Callithrix jacchus: one gene and its partners. Each later gene encodes a partner of the first gene's protein in a complex. Links are inferred from orthologs where the notes say so. Each region holds a gene or a part of one and is shown in the gene's direction. Other genes may lie near its edges. The genes, in order: OS9, UBE2J1, HERPUD1 and FAM8A1.

What was found.
Region 2: OS9 (region 1) and UBE2J1 share a complex: the UniProt entries of both Homo sapiens proteins name them as parts of the HRD1 complex. The link is inferred for Callithrix jacchus from reciprocal best matches to the Homo sapiens genes OS9 and UBE2J1.
Region 3: OS9 (region 1) and HERPUD1 share a complex: the UniProt entries of both Homo sapiens proteins name them as parts of the HRD1 complex. The link is inferred for Callithrix jacchus from reciprocal best matches to the Homo sapiens genes OS9 and HERPUD1.
Region 4: OS9 (region 1) and FAM8A1 share a complex: the UniProt entries of both Homo sapiens proteins name them as parts of the HRD1 complex. The link is inferred for Callithrix jacchus from reciprocal best matches to the Homo sapiens genes OS9 and FAM8A1.

The regions. Positions count from the first base shown.
Region 1 is NC_133510.1:61,984,492-61,987,950, reverse strand, and holds the end of OS9 (protein OS-9), read left to right. Parts: intron 1-168; coding exon 169-358; intron 359-1,287; coding exon 1,288-1,452; intron 1,453-1,594; coding exon 1,595-1,707; intron 1,708-1,984; coding exon 1,985-2,110; 3' UTR 2,111-2,756; downstream 2,757-3,459. UniProt on the Homo sapiens protein: Lectin component of the HRD1 complex, which functions in endoplasmic reticulum (ER) quality control and ER-associated degradation (ERAD).
Region 2 is NC_133505.1:95,402,345-95,406,949, reverse strand, and holds the start of UBE2J1 (ubiquitin-conjugating enzyme E2 J1), read left to right. Parts: upstream 1-1,490; 5' UTR 1,491-1,779; coding exon 1,780-1,810; intron 1,811-4,605. UniProt on the Homo sapiens protein: Catalyzes the covalent attachment of ubiquitin to other proteins. Functions in the selective degradation of misfolded membrane proteins from the endoplasmic reticulum (ERAD) and is essential for cells to recover from ER stress.
Region 3 is NC_133521.1:14,806,856-14,811,501, forward strand, and holds the start of HERPUD1 (homocysteine-responsive endoplasmic reticulum-resident ubiquitin-like domain member 1 protein), read left to right. Parts: upstream 1-1,433; coding exon 1,434-1,580; intron 1,581-4,349; coding exon 4,350-4,427; intron 4,428-4,515; coding exon 4,516-4,590; intron 4,591-4,646. Other genes in the region: uncharacterized protein LOC118149719, read right to left, coding at 267-355, 565-1,435. UniProt on the Homo sapiens protein: Component of the endoplasmic reticulum quality control (ERQC) system also called ER-associated degradation (ERAD) involved in ubiquitin-dependent degradation of misfolded endoplasmic reticulum proteins.
Region 4 is NC_133505.1:13,151,786-13,156,221, reverse strand, and holds the start of FAM8A1 (protein FAM8A1), read left to right. Parts: upstream 1-1,411; 5' UTR 1,412-1,535; coding exon 1,536-2,247; intron 2,248-3,679; coding exon 3,680-3,800; intron 3,801-4,436. UniProt on the Homo sapiens protein: Plays a role in the assembly of the HRD1 complex, a complex involved in the ubiquitin-proteasome-dependent process of ER-associated degradation (ERAD).

The DNA.
Region 1 (3,459 bases):
CCCGGGAGGCGGAGGTTGCAGTGAGCCAAGATTGTGCCACTGCACTCCAGCCTGGGCAACAAGAACAAAACTGCGTCACAAAATAGCAGACTCTCCTACAGAGCCTGGCCTGCTGGCCACCTCCATACCCCAGACCCTTGAGTGTTTATCTTCTCTTGGGTATTCCAGACAGAGAAGGAGCTGGACCCAGATGGGCTGAAGAAGGAGTCAGAGCGGGATCGGGCAATGCTGGCTCTGACATCCACTCTCAACAAACTCATCAAAAGACTGGAGGAAAAGCAGAGTCCAGAGCTGGTGAAGAAGCACAGGAAAAAGAGGGTTGTCCCCAAAAAGCCTCCCCCATCACCCCAACCTACAGGTGAGAGCAGTCAGACAAGAAGGAGTAGCCCAGTCCATTGTTTTCATCCCTCAGCTGGTCTTGTTCTTTGAGGGGACCCTGTTCCTTGCCTTCTGAGGGTGTTCATTCTCTCCCCTCTTTCTGGAACACTGTCCTCACTTGCGCCTCCTTCGCACCACTGTCATCCCTTGGCATGCTTACCTCCTATTCATCCCTCTGGGAAGCAGCTTTTAGAGCATGTCTGCTTGTTTCCTGGTTTGCTCCTGCACAGCCAGTGCCTAGCACACTGCCTGGCACACACTGACTGATCAGTAGATAGTAACTGAATGTTTGTGAGTCTATATGCTGAAAACCACACAACTGTGAAGGATGTAGCCTGTCAACATTTAGGACTTTGCACCGAGTGAGGTCCTAGCTATCAGGGTATGAATAGGAGAGCCCAGCTGCACATGAGTCAATAGCCTGGATAGACTTTAAATTACTTCTTCTTCTTGCATCCCCTTGTGTCCATTTCATAGGGTCCTATTGGTGTGGACATCAGATATTCCAAATGGAATGTTCAGTTTCAAACCTTCCATCCCATTCTCTCTATAAACATTAAGTCCCAACATATGGAGGAAGAAACCGCACTTTTCCAACCTGCTTCTTCAAACGAAACTTAATTGATGCAGGTGGCCTAATTTTGGCTTCAGAAAACATTTGTTTTCCTATAGGTGATGGGCAGAATTATTGAGTAGGGTGGGAAGATGGAAGACTGCAATTGATGGAGGGAGCTCTACTGGGTGAATTGGATGGGGGAGGCACACAGTTTTTTGACCCCTGGCTCATATACATGTTGAGATGGAATAGCTGCCAAAGCCAACTGATGTTTTAGGGGGAGGCGACCCCCACACCCCAACCCTGGAGTCACGCCTCTGCTTTGTGTTTCCCTGTGTGTCTCCCCCTCTAAGAGGAGGATCCTGAGCACAGAGTCCGGGTCCGGGTCACCAAGCTCCGTCTCGGAGGCCCTAATCAGGATCTGACGGTCCTCGAGATGAAACGGGAAAACCCACAGCTGAAACAAATCGAGGGGCTGGTGAAGGAGCTGCTGGAGAGGGAGGGACTCACAGCTGCAGGTGGGCCCTGGAGGGCGGCTGGACCCAGCGCTGTCGGAAGGGCGAGCTGCCGGAAGCGGAGGGGCTGGGACCAGCGGGGCAGGGGGCCTGCCCTGAGGCTCCTAGCTATCTTCTCCTCTCACTGCATACTGCTCCTTTCCAGGGAAAATTGAGATCAAAATTGTCCGCCCATGGGCGGAAGGGGCTGAAGAGGGTGCACGCTGGCTGACTGATGAGGACACAAGAAACCTCAAGGAGATCTTCTTCAATATCTTGGTGAGAGGCTTCTACCCCCAGGCCTGGCCTCCAGCCCTCGCGTCCCCAGCCCGCCTGCAGTGGAGGCACAGGCCTGCCCCAGCCACGCTGTTGCTTTGTTCTTTTCCTGATCTATAAGATGAGGCTAGGGTTCCAGTGGCTCCGAGCGCTGCCACTCAGGGAGAGCCCCTCAGGACATGAGTGTTCTCACTCCCTGCCTTCCCCCAGCCACCCGGCCCTGGACTTCCCTGGGCTCAACAGCCAGCAGCTCCAGCCCACCTCTACCCTCTCCCACCAGGTGCCGGGAGCCGAAGAAGCCCAGAAAGAACGCCAGCGGCAGAAAGAGCTGGAGAGCAATTACCGCCGGGTGTGGGGCTCTCAAGGTGGGGAGGGCACAGGGGACCTGGATGAATTTGACTTCTGAGACCAACACTGCACTTGACCCTCCACAGAATCCAGAGTCTTCCTGGACTGGCCTGCCTCCTCCCCACCTCCCTACCCTGGTACCCCTGAGGGCCAAACAGCAGAGTGGAGCTGAGCTGCGGACCTCTCGGGTGACTCTGTGGGTGTGGGGGCCCTGGGTGAATGCTGTTGCCCCTGCTGGCAGCCACCTGGAGACCTCACCGGGCCTGTGATGTTTGCTCTCCTGGGCTTTCCCTCAATCCGCTTCCTCTCCTCTGTGGCTTTTCCTGTTATTGTCCCCTAATGATAGGATATTCCCTGCTCCGTACCTGGAGATTCAGTAGGATCTTTGGAGTGGAGTGGGGTAGAGAGAGCAAGGAGGGCAGGGCAGTGAGCAGGCACTGAGCAAGCAGGCCCCCACCTGCCCCTAGTGCTGTTGGGAGTCGCTTTACCCCCTTCTATTGAATTGCCTTGGGATTTCCTTCTCCTTTTCCCTGCCCACCCTGTCACACACCATTTGTCCTTCTGAGTTGAGGAGCCTTCACCTCTGTTGCTGAGAAAGTGGGAGAATGCTACCCATCACCTCCAGCACAATCCCAGCGAAAAAGGTGTGAAGCACCTACCATGTTCTTGAACAATCAGGTTTCTAAATAAAGAACTGGACCATCGATCCATCAACCTTTTTTCTGGGGTGGGGGCTCCAGCAGGGAGGAGGCTCGTGCTCTTTTCAGATCATGCTCTGGTTCTGTTCTTTGCTCCCCACTCCCCGGGTCTATAAATGGGGCTGGAGTATGCAGGATAAGACCAGGGCAGCTAAATGAAGCCTGGCCTGGCAAGGATTCAAAGAAACACTTGCTGTACTGCCGTCTTCCTTTTCTCATCTGTCCATTTCTGTTTCTTCCCTTCTTTTACACCAAGTCTTTCCCCATCCTCTACCCCTTTATACTCTGAAAGCCAAAATGTATACCACAGAGTTACCCTGTCAGGGATCTTCCTTCTGCTGCAGTCTCTCCTGCAGCATGCTCCAGGTTCCATTTGCCATCCAAACCGCTACCCACCTGTCCTTTCAACATTTCCCAAAAACACCTCCACCTTTGGCCATACCCAGAGAGAGGGCTGCTGCCCACATATGCCAGTTTCTTAGTATGCCAAGGGTACATGGGCCTGGTGTCTCCCTCTCTTCCTCACTACTAAGTGCAGCTATGGGTCCTCCCATGTGCCTTCTCCCAGTGTGGAAGACTCTGATCTTTCTTTTTCTTGGTTGAGACAGAGTCTCCTTTTGTTTGCCCAGGCTGGAGTGCAGCGGTATGATCTTGGTTCACTGCAACCTCTGCCTCCCAGGTTCAAGCAATTTGCTGTCTCAGCCTCCCG
Region 2 (4,605 bases), on another chromosome or scaffold:
TGGAGGCTGAATAGCAAAAGGCTTCTAGTACTCCCCTATCAAATAGGAACTCATTATATACAGCATCTGCTTCGCAGGCCTTACTGTGGTAGGGCCTATTGCACAAATTAAGGGCTTTTATGGAGCTGTGGCAGGCGAGGATGTCAAGTGGTAGCTAATTCGAAGATCCAACACAATGAATGAATGAAGCAGCACTGAAGTTTGGTTTTGTTCGCATATCTCAGCCAATCAGATTATCAGTTTACTATACAAAAAACAACATGGGGAATGGTTTAAAAGATACCATCTAATTTTAGATATCCTTCACTTTTTTCCTCCCAATTTCACTAAGAAACTCACGGATTTAGATTATTTAACAACAGAAAACAAATCAAATTTAAGAGTTTTGTATCTTTAAATAACAGAATAACACTTGCCCAACCTGATTAATCCTCTCTATCCTCCCCACCTTCCCATTCCCTCCCTCCTTTCCGGTCCTAAGGTTCCTACTCCTTCTCAAGTCTTTTGAACTCATAGTCCTCTCTCAATCCCACACATTTGACACTGAAGCAAGAAGTGTGTTCTTTGAAGTTTAATCTTTCATATTTGTATGCTTTCTCTCAATTCAATGTAATTCCTTTTTTTTTGACGGCTTTTAAATCTAAACAAATCAAAAGCAAACAAACTTCTGCAACGCCTAAAACAGTGTCTTGCACCTAACACACTACTCGAAAAAAATTATTAATATACAACTCTGATTAGTGCAGTGGCTCACGCCTATAATCCCAGCACTTTGGGGGGCCGAGAAGGGCAGATAATCTGAGGTCAGGAGTTAGAGACTAGCCTGGCCAACATGGTGAAAACCTGTCTCTATCAAAAATACAAAAAATTACCCGGGCGTGGTGGCGCACACCTGTGGTCCCAGCGCTCTAGAGGCTGAGGTGGGAGAATCGCTTGAGCCTGGGAGGTAGAGGCTGCAATGAGCCAAGATCGCGCCACTGCACTCTAGCCTGGGCGACAGAGCGAGACTCCGACTGAACAGGGGGAAAAAAAATCCTCCTCCATTCCCTCGCCACTGGCTTTCCCCTCTCCCCCTCACTTAACCCCTGTTTCTCGCCGCGCCCCCCACCACCGCACCCCTGCCCCGCCACAGCAACTGGATCTATAAACAAAGCCCTTCCCAGACCCCGCGGGACCGCGCGTGAACAGCTTTGCAGCCGGAGCCCGGCGCCCCCTCCGAGCTCTCGAGGGCCCGGGGGTCCCGGACCTCTCCTGCAACGGGTAGGGCCGGCGCTCCTAGCGCCTGGGGACCCCGGAGGGCCAGAGGGAAGTTCGGCTTCCGGGGGCCGGGGCGAGGGGACAAAGACACTGCTCGCTCCTGCAGATCCCAAGCCGGCTTTACGGGGCCGGCGGCGACTGGGGAGTGACCGACCGCCACGAAGCTGCTGCCACGTCAGGCAACTTCACAAAACCCGGACGAGGGCAGGTGACGCAAGCCCCGCGGCCGCGGCGGGGCTGGGCCTGCGGCTACCCGAGGAGGCTGATCTCCGGCCCGGTCGCCCGGTTCAGCGACGCCCGGCCGGCGCCGGCCCGGCTCTCAGGGAGGCGGGGGGTGCAGCGGAGGAGGCGGCGCCATCGCGAAGCCAGCACCTCGCCCGCACTCGGCCTCGTCACCCCGCCTGCAGTCCGGGCTGGACTGGGCGGCGTCTGCGGAGGCTCCTCGGCCAGACCGCGTCAGCCTGAGCCGTGCTGAGACCCGGGCAGCGGCCCGGGAGGCCGGAGCCAGGCCAGCGACCCGCCATGGAGACCCGCTACAACCTGAAGAGTCCTGGTGAGCGAGGCTGGGGCCCCCGGGCGAAGAGGGCAGAGTGACCTGGACCCCGGGGCGGTCGCCGCGGTCCCCTAGCGTTTGGCGCCACTCATGGCTCCGCTCCCGGTGTCGCGCTCTACGCGAGACCGCCGCCTGCCCGGGAAGTGCAGGCCGCAGGGCGGGGTGGCCCGGTGAACGCCCGCTGCTAATCCTCGGGCAGGCTAGCGCGCCGCAGCACCCGGCCTCTCCCTTTTCCCATCTTCGCCCCGTCCCGTAGAGCTGGGTCAGAAACTCATCCCTAAGAACAGGTGTAAAGGTGATGTCGGTGGGCGACAGTCAACAACCCCTTGCTGTACCTGCATCGGGAACACCGTCGCTATCCCCTCCCGGTCACTGCCACTGGACTTCTGTTAGCCGGCTGCATTACTCACATTTGAGGGGTTGGTCGTTTAAATATCTTACTTGCGGCACCTGGGCCGAATAGAATTGCAGACATAAAGGAAATGTTCTGTAACTAAGCCAGTTAACTATAGAACTAAAACAAAACAAAACAAACAAAAAATACCTGGTTGAACCCTGTACATGGGAACTAACCTTGATTTTTGCCATACTGGCTAATATGAAATATATCTATATTCAGTCGTAGAGATTCTTTTCCTGCATTTAATGATCCTGCTTCATTTACACAAGCAGTCCCAGCAATCCTAGCCTTTAATTACTTTCTGGTGCATAATAAAGATAAGTAACTAGCGTTCTCAGCTTAATACAACAGGCTTGAAATGAATCATTGGATCGTCTAAATGGTATTTTTTTCTATCTGTACCTTGGTAAATTTTGCCAGGAGGAAGAAACTCCACAGTTAACTCTGCAAACTCTAGGATATTAATGATGATTTCACCGACTCTTGCTTTTGCTTAAAATTTCCTTCCAAAAAAAGCTGTTTCTCAGTAGGAATTAGCAAAATTAGCATCCTTATGGAAAGAGTTGACATTGTGAATCTGGGGGTTTTTGTAAGGTTTCAGAATATGCAAAAATCCCAGAAAAGCCTGAGGATATTGATTTGAGGGAGCTTTGTTAGCTTGAGTGCTGCCAGGCTTAGAAATGTCCTTAGGTGACCAAGTGTGTAGATTTGGTCATAACATTTTAGGGGCCACTGACTCCTTAAAAAATATGAAGACCTGGCATGGTGGCACGTGCCTGTAATCGCAGCATTTGGGAGGCTTGTGGGGGTGGGGGACAAATTACTTGAGGTCTGGAGTTCGAGACCAGCTTGATCAACATGGGGAAACCCTGTCTCTACTAAAAATACAGAAATTAGCCGGGCATGGTGGTGGCACACTCCTGTAGTCCCAGATGGCTTGAGTCTGGGAGGTGGAGGTTGCAGTGAGCCAAGATCGCGATTGCACTCCAGTATGGGCGACAGAGCAAGACTCCATCTCAAAAAAACAAAACAAAACAAAAACCTGGAGTGGAGGTAGGGGGAAGAAAAGACCAAAGAGAAAGAGGGGAAGAAAGAAAAGCTTAATGTATGATTGAATTATTTACATTGTGGTAGATTTAACTAGTACTATTTGGGTAGAAACATCTGGTGGCTCCCTGCTCACAGGGTTCCTTAGGACAGCAGAGGTGCTTAGTGAAAGGTCCAGAGGATAATCCACATGTGAGTAGTAGTGCAGTTTGGAATGGAGAACTGGTGGAACCCAAGAGATTGTTGTCAGAAAACATCACTCAATTTCAATAGGTTAGACTTAATACTACAATGATAAGCTTTTAAAATTCTCCAGAATTTTGTACATTTCCAAAGTATGCGAACTATCATCCACTGGCTGAGCTTTGGCTGACATGCTTCTAGCTTTGTCATAAATTGCTTCCTTTTTTTGGTTTTATTTCCTCAAAGATAGTGTTGCTGATTTAAAAAACAATGCTACTTTTCTTTTTTTTTTTTTTTCTGGAGACAGAGTCTTGCTTCCTCACCAGGCCCCAGACTGGAGTGCAGTGGCGTGACCTCAGCTCACTGCAACCTCCGCCTCCTGGGTTCAAGCAATTCTCCTGCCTCAGCCCCCTGAGCAGCTGGGACTACAGGCACGCACCACCATGCCCAGCTAATTTTTGTATTTTTAGTAGAGACGGGGTTTCACCATGTTGGCCAGGATGGTCTCGATCTCTTGACCTTGTGATCCACCTGCCTTGGCCTCCCAAAGTGCTGGGATTACAGGCGTGAGCCACCGCGCCCGGCCACAATGCTTCTTAAAAATCTATTTTTGTTAGTGTGTTGATTATTTGGAATTCATAGAGAAGTTGAATTAGGTGAGATATGAGACTTACTGAAAATGCTGGGAGGCATCCTGAAAATCCTTCCTTTGCTTTATTCTCAGTCCTGTGGTATTTTTTAGAGTAATGCCTATATGAAGGAAAACAACTGAAAATTCCAATCTCCTGTGTATGGCAGGGTGCGTGCACACACACACACACGCACATAAAACACCAGCCAACCAACCAAACAAAAGCCACCACACAGTGTGAGGGATATAATCCTTTACTTTTTATCTGATGTGGGGTTGTCTTTGATGTATGAGTGGAAAGATTAAATGAAGACAATACAGATAACTGGTTAAGGGCCAGTGCACTAGCATGTGGATAGTAAACCTGTTCATTTCATAGGTGGGAAACTTTTTCTTTTATGAATTTTTTGGAATGGACCTGTGATTGTGGCTAGAGCTGTTGTGTAGGATCACCTCATATGCCTCTGACTAGCCTGTCAGTAGTGGTCTGTGGATCAAGCTCCCTGACCCGTGTTTGGGTCTGCTCTGGCTAAG
Region 3 (4,646 bases), on another chromosome or scaffold:
TTCTTGTACCGAGCACAATCTGGTTCCCTCGAATGCACAGTTCACGATAGGGGCCATCTCCTATGAGAATCTAATATCCCCTGATCTAACAGGAGGCAGAGTTCAGGTGGTAACGCAGCAATAGGGAGCAGCTGTAAATACAGATGAAGCTTTGCTCACCTTCTGCGGTGCCACCTGGTTCCTAACAGGTCGGGGACTCTTAGGGGTCCGTGGCCTGGCGGGGCGCTGGGGACCCTGTCTTACCCCATCCAGTTTGTGGCACTTTGTTATGGCAGCTGCAGCAGATGAACAGGCCCACCAACCAGATCAGGCTCCTTCTGTTGCCTTCCTGCCCTTGACAAGCTCCTGACGACACCTGAAAAAACAGACGTCCCAAGGGGGTTGGAACAAGGAGGGGGCCGGGGCAATGTCAGTTTTGTTTTTCAAGATTTTTTTTTTTTTTTTTTTCCTACAGAGGAGGAGGGAATGCCTACAATAGAGAGGCCTTTGTGGTCCCACTTCAGGAATCAGAGAACCCTGCCCTCCTCGTCTCGGCCCCAATTAAAGGGTGCATGTGTATCTTACAAAGTGATGCCCTTTTGGCAGGGACTCCCAGTGTGAGCAGGGCTGTGGCTGACTTGTCAATCATCATATAGGTTATGTCCCAAACGTGCAAGTCAGAAGCCCACGGAAATTGGCAACAGCTGCCTGGATGCCTCCATCCTCCCAGCCCAAGGAAGATCAGGCCTCCCTCCTTCGTTGTCCTTCCTATGAGCACGTGACGTTCTCCTGGGTGGACTTGCACAACGGGTTGCCCAGCTGTTCTTTGAGGGTCAGGTGGAGAGTCTTCCCCTATAGGACGGGCTTCCCCGGGAGGTTTCCATGTGGGGCCACCTGAGGCAGGAAAAGGAGAAGTGGACACTGGCACCTGGGGTGAAAAAGGGCGGGGGTGCAGCTTTGTGAGGAAACAATTTGAGGAGACTGCTAAACTGGGGTCTGCTGGGATACACCGCTCCCACCCCCTGCCTCGGGCGCCCTCAGTCACCCGAGCTGGGGGCCCCTCAAGTCTCAGGCCAAGCCCTCGCGCGCTTAGCGCGGGCCGCAGCGCACCCAAACATGGCCGCCAAACCCAGGTTCCCGGGGCGCAGCCGAGCCTGAGGGTGACGCAGCGGCGGCGGGTTGCATCAGCCCGCGCCCACGTGCTTGGTCCGCCCTCTGCCTCCCGGATCCGGACGCCGATTGGGCCACGTTGGGACAGTGTCTCCGCCTCAGCCAATGGGCAGCAGCCACAGAGGGTTCTGTCCGCAGAGCCGAGCGCGGGGAGCCCATAAAAGGCTCCCGAGAGTGGGGCGCGTGCCCCAGGGACGCCAACAGTCGTTGCGGAGTTTGCGGGCGGGTGCGACACCGCCTCTTGGCACCTCGGAGCGCAGCTGAGCCCCGACACAGCCGCCGCCATGGAGTCCGAGCCCGATCCCGAGCCCGTCACGCTCCTGGTGAAGAGCCCCAACCAGCGCCACCGCGACTTGGAGCTGAGCGGCGATCGCAGCTGGAGCGTTGGCCACCTCAAGGCCCATCTGAGCCGCGTCTACCCTGAGCGTCCGGTGAGAGCCGCCCCGACTTCCCGCCCCGAGGCTGTGGCCCCCAGTGCCGCCGCGTCCGCCTGCCCTGCCCTGTGGCCTCCCCCTCCGCCGGCCTTCCCTAGACGGCTGCGTTCGCCGGGTCGGTCACGTGCCCCAGGGCTGTGGTCTCCCCTTCCCTGCCCCGCCGCCGCGGGCGCCCCTCTCTTGCCCAGGGACCGTCACTAATCAGCAGCCTGACCTTAGGCGAGTCGTTTCACCCTCCAAGCCTGCTTCCCCCCAGCGGTCAGGCAACTCGGTGGTTCCTAACTGGGCTTGCACCCAACGGCTAGGAGTAAGAAAACATCCGTGCTGCAAAATGAGGGTTGTGAACGCAACCTCCCCGCGGGAGAGAAGCGGGCAGGTGCCACCCGGAGCGGTGGCTTGAGAAACCTGGGGAGCACCCAGACCCTGTGGACGGAAGGGCCCACACCCAGAAGCAGGACGTGGCTCTTCTCCCTGTCTACCTTCCGCCGGGCCCCTCCCTGTCGCACTGGACCGCGCAGCCGTTGCCGAGTCCCGGGGAGGAGCCCCGTGCACTTTCTGGCCAAGTGCGACTGAGAAGGGAAGCAGGCAGTAGTCGCCTTCAGTCTGGTTTTAGGACGGCAGCCTCTCCATTATTAGCGAGACTTCTTTGCTTTGTTTTGGTTGACGCATCTGTCAACATCACCCTTAGCACCGCCTGCCCTGGCCGCCACGTGATGAGGCTGTAAGCTGGCCCTTCCTGTATTTACTTTCTGCTCCGATATTATGTAAGTGTCAGCAGTGTTCTTCACTGCCCACGAGCATAATTCTCTATCACACAGGAGAGGGCATCCAGGCAGGAAAAGATCGTGTAACCCGAGTTCCAACTTTTGGTTGGAACTCACCTGTGTCTGTTTTTGTTCCATGTGGTCAAGAAGGTAGAAGTGAGTTTTCCTTCTGAGTTGTTGTTTTGAAATTTGCATATTGATTTAGTACGCGTGTATTCCATGTCCTGTGGAATTCACCCTGGTACACTTTTCGGTTTCACCAGAGCTGCGTCCAGAAACTGGGTGGCTGTGTTGCCATGAGAATGTCTGTTGGGTACACAAATTGGTGAAGCAGGTGTTGCCTATGGTTGCATCATATGGTAAAAGGCAGGGTTTCGGAGAAGGGTTTTTCTTAAGGGCTTGCTTTGGTGACGGACGCCAGTCCCATCTCTTCAGTCTAAAGACCTAAGATTGTAAATAAATATCTCTCAGGTATACAAATTTGTGTCTAAAAATTATTATGGCTGAAACATATTTATCACTTGTTTTCTGTGGTAGAAAATGGTATACTGTGAGAAGCCCTACTTTGTAATAGTTGTGCTTAATTTTTTCTCAAATCAGCCATTTGAGTGAAGACTCAATGTCAAGTTAGGCCTTTAAAAAGGGTGGAAATAATTCAAAATCACTGGCAGCTGTGGTTTTCAAGCCTTTTCTAGTGGTTGAACTCTAATAAACACAGAGCCATACATATCTAATAGATACTGTTTTACAAATTCATATATAAGCATGTACCTTTAACATTCTCACCTGTCAGTGAGAAAAACGGTGAACCCAGCATTCAGTATATTTTGGTTTAGTTACAGTGTCAAAAAGTCCTGATGTATATGGATAAGTAGATGGACTTTTGGCTTTGTTTGTTTTAAACAGCTTGCTTTAATTATCTCAAGCTGTTGGCAGGAACACCTTTATTCCAGGTTTTGCATAATCAGTTATGCTGGCAAGAGTAGGTATACACGTTGCTGATCTCCAATGGACAGACAGATTATATGTTAATATTTGAGGCCATTATTTTTAAGTACAGTTTAGAGGGAGTTTCAAAGAGATTTTTAAAATGAGATTTGTATAAAAGAATGTGCAGTCCCTATGGCATTAAAATCGCTGATATGGAGGAGAAGAGGGTTTGGAATTGTGACACTGGCAGCAGATGACCTTGGAAAAGTAAATTTTTCAGACTTTCCTCCCTTAAAATAGGGATACTGAATCTCACAGGGTTGTTGTATATAATGTCACCCACACACCATTTCCTCTATAACTGCATTTGTATGCCAAGAAATCCTCTATAAAGGCTTAAGTTTAGAATAGCTTCATATTATTCTGGGGCACTGCTAGGTGATTTTGGTGAAGGCTGGCCTTGGGAGTACTCTGAGTTTTTCCTGAAACCAAACTCAGTTGCTGTAGGAGCCCTGTTCGCTGTTTGTTGTTGTTATGAAAATCAGTTTACATGGGAGTTAAGAAGTATGTTGCCCTACATAGGTTTGGACTGGAGATAATTTACCTGTTTTTTTTTTTTTTTTTTTTTTGATATAGGGTCTCTCTCTGTACAATTCCCCTGTCTCAGCCTCCCGAGTAGCTTGGATTACAGGTGCAAGCCACCATGCCCAGCTAATTTTTACATTTTTAGTAGAGGCAGGGTTTCACCATGTTGGCCACTCTGGTCTCGAACTCCTGACCTAAGGTGATCTGCCCACCTTGGCCTCCCAAAGTGCTTGGAGTATAGGCATGAGCCACTGTACCCAGCCGATAATTTGCCATTCTGTATTTATTTGCATGTTAGAGACCGGTTAAAGTTAGGTACTTTCTAAATAGAAGTTTTGTATATGGAGCCTTTGAAAAAGTGTTTTCCCGTGATGCTGGGGTGAAACATACATATTCAAATTATTTGTATAAAACAGTTTATTTTGAGTGTTTGAGAACTTCTGGGAGTGAAATGCTGACCTTTGTTACTCTTTCTTTCCATGGTCAGCATCCAGAGGACCAGAGATTAATTTATTCTGGCAAGCTGTTGTTGGATCACCAATGTCTCAGGGACTTGCTTCCAAAGGTACATCACCTAAACATTAATTTCTGCATGTTTTTAAGCACTCACCAGGTTAGGTTCAGGTCCTTAAGTAACTTCTTTTTACTTTTAGCAGGAAAAACGTCATGTTTTGCATCTGGTGTGCAATGTGAAGAGTCCTTCAAAAATGCCAGAAATCAGTGCCAAGGTGTGTCTGCTTCTTCATGATGATAACAGTTTGCATCATTCAGACTTAAGGAGTTG
Region 4 (4,436 bases), on another chromosome or scaffold:
GCAGAGATTTTCAAATGTAAAAGAAGAGGGATTATACTGATTTAAAAGCTGGATTCTGTCCTCATCCTGTAGCTAGTCTGCATTTATGAAAATTTACTTTCCACTGTGGTAAACACAAGCTTTCTACTCCAGCCGAACTGTGCCTTTCCTCAAATCCAGTCTCAAATTTAGGTGCCTTTTCATTTTCTGTTATGGAAAGGCCCTGAGCATATCCCAGGCTTTAGAGCCTTTTGTTAGTACTCTAGTCCATGCATAATTTCCCCTTCCTCTGAAATATATATATAGCACCTCACTACTTACATTTCAATATACTTTCCTGGACGGGCACAGTGGCTCACGCCTGTAATTCCAGCACTTTGGGAGGCCGAGGTGGCTGGATCACGAGGTCAGGAGTTCGAGACCAGCCTGACCAACATGGTGAAACCCCGTCTCTACTAAAAATACAAAAATTACCCAGGTGTCACGGCACACATCTGTAATCTTAGCCACTCGGAAGGCTGAGACAGAAGAACAATTTGAACCCAGGAGGCAGAGGCTGGCAGTGAGCCGAGATGGTGCTACTGCACTCTAGCCTGGGCGACAGAGTGAGACTCCGTCTCAAGATACAAAAACAAAACTATAAAAAAAATTATATATATTAATATATGTACCGGTTTAGTTTAATTTCTTTTTCTTTCTTTTCTTTTTTTTTTTTTGAGACGGAGTTTCGCTCGTTACCCAGGCTGGAGTGCAATGGCGCGATCTCACCGCAACCTCCGCCTCCTGGGTTCAGGCATTTCTCCTGCCTCAGCCTCCTGAGTAGCTGGGATTACAGGCACGCCCCACCATGACCAGCTAATTTTTTTTTTTTTTTTTTTTTTTTTTAAGTAGAGACGGGGTTTCACCATGTTGACCAGGATGGTCTCAATTTGTTGACCTCGTGATCCACCCGCCTCGGCCTCCCAAAGTGCTGGGATTACAGGCTTGAGCCACCGCGCCCGGCCTGGTTTAATTTCTTATCCTCTAAAGGTATAGATGCGTTCTGTGCCACCTTCTCGAGTACTAATGGTTAACTGGAATGAACACAAGCAACCAAGCACTAGCCTGGAGCCCAAAACAACAGTCGCAGTTCTGCAACAGAAAACGCCGCGCTGGCCCTGAGACCCGTCTCGGAAATGCTTCTTATCCCTCTGCTGTTTCTCCCAGGACAACCTAGGTCCTACCCCACGGGAATATACAGAGAGTCCTCAGGCCACAGACTTAAAGCCACGACACGGGGGCGGGGGCCCACGACGGTCTGGTCCCAGCCGACCAGCCAGCTACTACCAGGGACCGAACCGGGGACTGCAGCCGCACTTCCCCGCCCTCTTTTCCCAGCTCCGCCCGGCGGCGGGCGTCGCTCCTGAGGGGCGGGGCTTCCGCTTCCGGCCGGGGATTGTTGACGCCTACGCCTGCGGCTGCGGCTGCGGCGTTGGCGACGGACTGTTGGGGAGGGGTAATTTGGGGAGGAAGACCGAGCAGTGACAGGTACCGCGGTGGGTGCTGCTGAGACGACGATGGCAGAGGGGCCCGAGGAAGCCCGAGGCCGCCCTCCTGGGCAAGACGAAGGCGGGGGGGACCACGAGCCCGTCCCTTCCCTGAGAGGGCCTCCTACCGCCGCCGTCCCATGCCCCCGCGACGACCCCCAGGACGAACCCCAGGCCCCGGGCCGGCCCACAGCTCCGGGCCTCGCAGCTGCCGCCGCTTACGAATCAGAGCCCCCGCGCGAGCTTGGGAAGCGTGGGGAGGCGGCCTCCGGCTCCGGTGCTGGGCCGCCGGAGCAGGCGGGCTGCGAGGCGCCCGAGGCCGCGGCGCCGCGGGAGAGACAGGCGCGGCTGAGCGCCCGTGAGTACTCCCGGCAAGTGCACGAGTGGCTGTGGCAGTCCTACTGCGGCTACCTCACCTGGCACAGCGGCCTGGCCGCCCTCCCCGCCTACTGCAGCCCCCAGCCGTCTCCGCAGAGCTTCCCCTCGGGCGGCGCTGCCATCCCCCAGGCCGCGGGGCTGCCGCCGGCCCCGCAGCTGGGCTATTACAACCCCTTCTACTTCGTGAGCCCCGGGCCTGCGGGGCCCGACCCGGGGACAGCTGCCGGCCTCAGCACCCCTGCTCCAGTCGCGAACCTGGGACCCCGGGCTCCTCAAGTGCAGTCGTCGGCCCGGGCCACTCCAGTGACGAGGGTAGGATCTGCAGCCCCTTCTCGAAGCCCGAGCGAGACCAGGCAGCAGGCAGGTGAGACCAGCGAGCAGGAGGCTGGGCGTAGAAGGGTCTTCAGGGGCCTGTGGGTAGAGCTGGCACGCTTTTTAGACCTGTCACTGCTGCTGCTGCTACTCCAATTAGCGATCCTGCCCGTGCACTAGCTATCGTTTGTCCAGGCCCTAAATCCCCAAAATGTACAAGGAGGCAACAGTTTCTTCTTCCTTTAGACCTGGCACTCCGAATTGATTCCCCTACTCATGGGGACTAGTTGTTTCTACGTGAAAAAAATTGCTCTTCCTTTGGTTTTCACGCTGTGCAGAGTGAGGTCCAAAGCTAAACTCGCAGATGGCAAACTCACTTTTGGAGGTGCTCAACTGTTAATGCTGGAAATTATTCAGACATTGGCTACTTAGGACAGTGGAACTGAACGGACATAAAAGGAGATTGACATGGATACCAGTGGAGTTACGAAGCTTTGATTGGGTCAAAGCTTCACTTCATTTGATCGAGAAGCCCTGGCTTATTGATCTTGTACATTGTGTAATTGTTTTTGCTTCTGTGTGTGAACTAGAATATTTTGAATTAGTTTACTATTTAAGCTATTACACTTTTCGTTTATTTTATTTAGCCACAGATAGAAGGGACAAGAACTACGTGATGCCTCTTATCCCAGCAGAATTTAGCATGACAGATTGATATTCATTGGGTTTATTTTAGAGAAAGCAAAACAAACTAAACACACAGGAGAGGTTACAGGGATTTACTTTATACTAATTGCTAATGTATAACCTTGATTTGTACTAAAATCAATTTTCAGTCACTTAGATGTGATCACTCGGATTCTCAGTAGAGTTCTTAGTGAAATGTATTGGGTACTCGAATCAGATTTGTCTGTTAAATCACTTCTGGGGGCGGGGGGAGGAGGTGTGGAGGACGAGGTTTGGCTCTATCGCCCAGGCTGGATAGTGCAGTGGCGCGATCTTGGCTCGCTGCAACCTCCGCCTACCAGGTTCAAGCCATCCTGCCACCTCAGCTTCCCTAGTAGCTGGGAATATAGGCATGTGCCATCATGCCCGGCTTATTTTTTAATATTTTGTTGAGACGGGGTTTCGCCATGTTGGCCAGGGCCAGACCAGTCTCGAACTCCTGGCTTCGAGCAATCTGCCTGCCTTGGCCTCCCAAAGTACTGGTATTACAGATGTGAGTCACTGCATCCAGCTGTGTGAAATCAAATTTTAAACGTTAAAGTTAGGAAAGCAAACTTTAAGTTCAGTAAATAGTGGGGTACTGTTACTCTAATAACATGGATTCTTGGTGGAATCAATATCAATAGTTGCTGCAAGGCTATATTTCTTATTAAGTTGTACCTTGACTTTACCAATTCATTATATGGCTTGTGTTCCAAGGCTTATGTGAAATGATTGGATTTTCCTAACTTCTTTTTTTTTTTTTTTTAAATTTACAGGCAGAGAATATGTTATTCCCTCCTTGGCTCACAGATTTATGGCAGAGATGGTGGATTTCTTTATTCTCTTCTTTATAAAAGCAACCATTGTCTTAAGTATTATGCACCTCAGTGGGATAAAGTAAGTTGAGGACATTTGCAGAAAGGTTTTTATTTCTACTGTTTAAAACTATTGTTTTGTTAAATTCTGTTTGTCTGCACGAGACTATATGGATAATGAGCTTGTCAGTCTCATGATTTCTTTATGAGGGCTTTGTCAGATTTATGGTTTTCTTGTTGATTTAAGAAATAACTAAAATTTTCTACTGAATTCTGTAAGATGTGTGGGAATCTCGCCTATCAAAAATAGGTAAAAAGAGCCTCCAAACCTGGTTTGATTTTATTCAACTTTTTTTTTTTTTGAGACAAGAGTCTCGCTCTGTTGCCCAGGTTGGAGTGCCATGGTGGGATCTTGGCTCACTGCAACATCTGTCTCCCGGGTTCAAGCAATTCTCTTGCCTGAGCCTCCCAAGTAGCTGGCCACTACAGGTTCATGCCACCATGCCTGGCTAATTTTTTGTATTTATTTTAGTAGAGACTGGGTTTCACGGTGTTGCCCAGGCTTGTCACAAACTCCTGAGCTGAGGCAATCTGCCCGCCTCGGCCTCTGAAAGTGCTTGGATTATAGGTGTGAGCCACCGTGCCTGGCCTCAACAATTCCTTTAGGCCAGGAACCAATTTACCTGTCCCTGTCCTGTTCCCTCTTGCTATCTTGTGG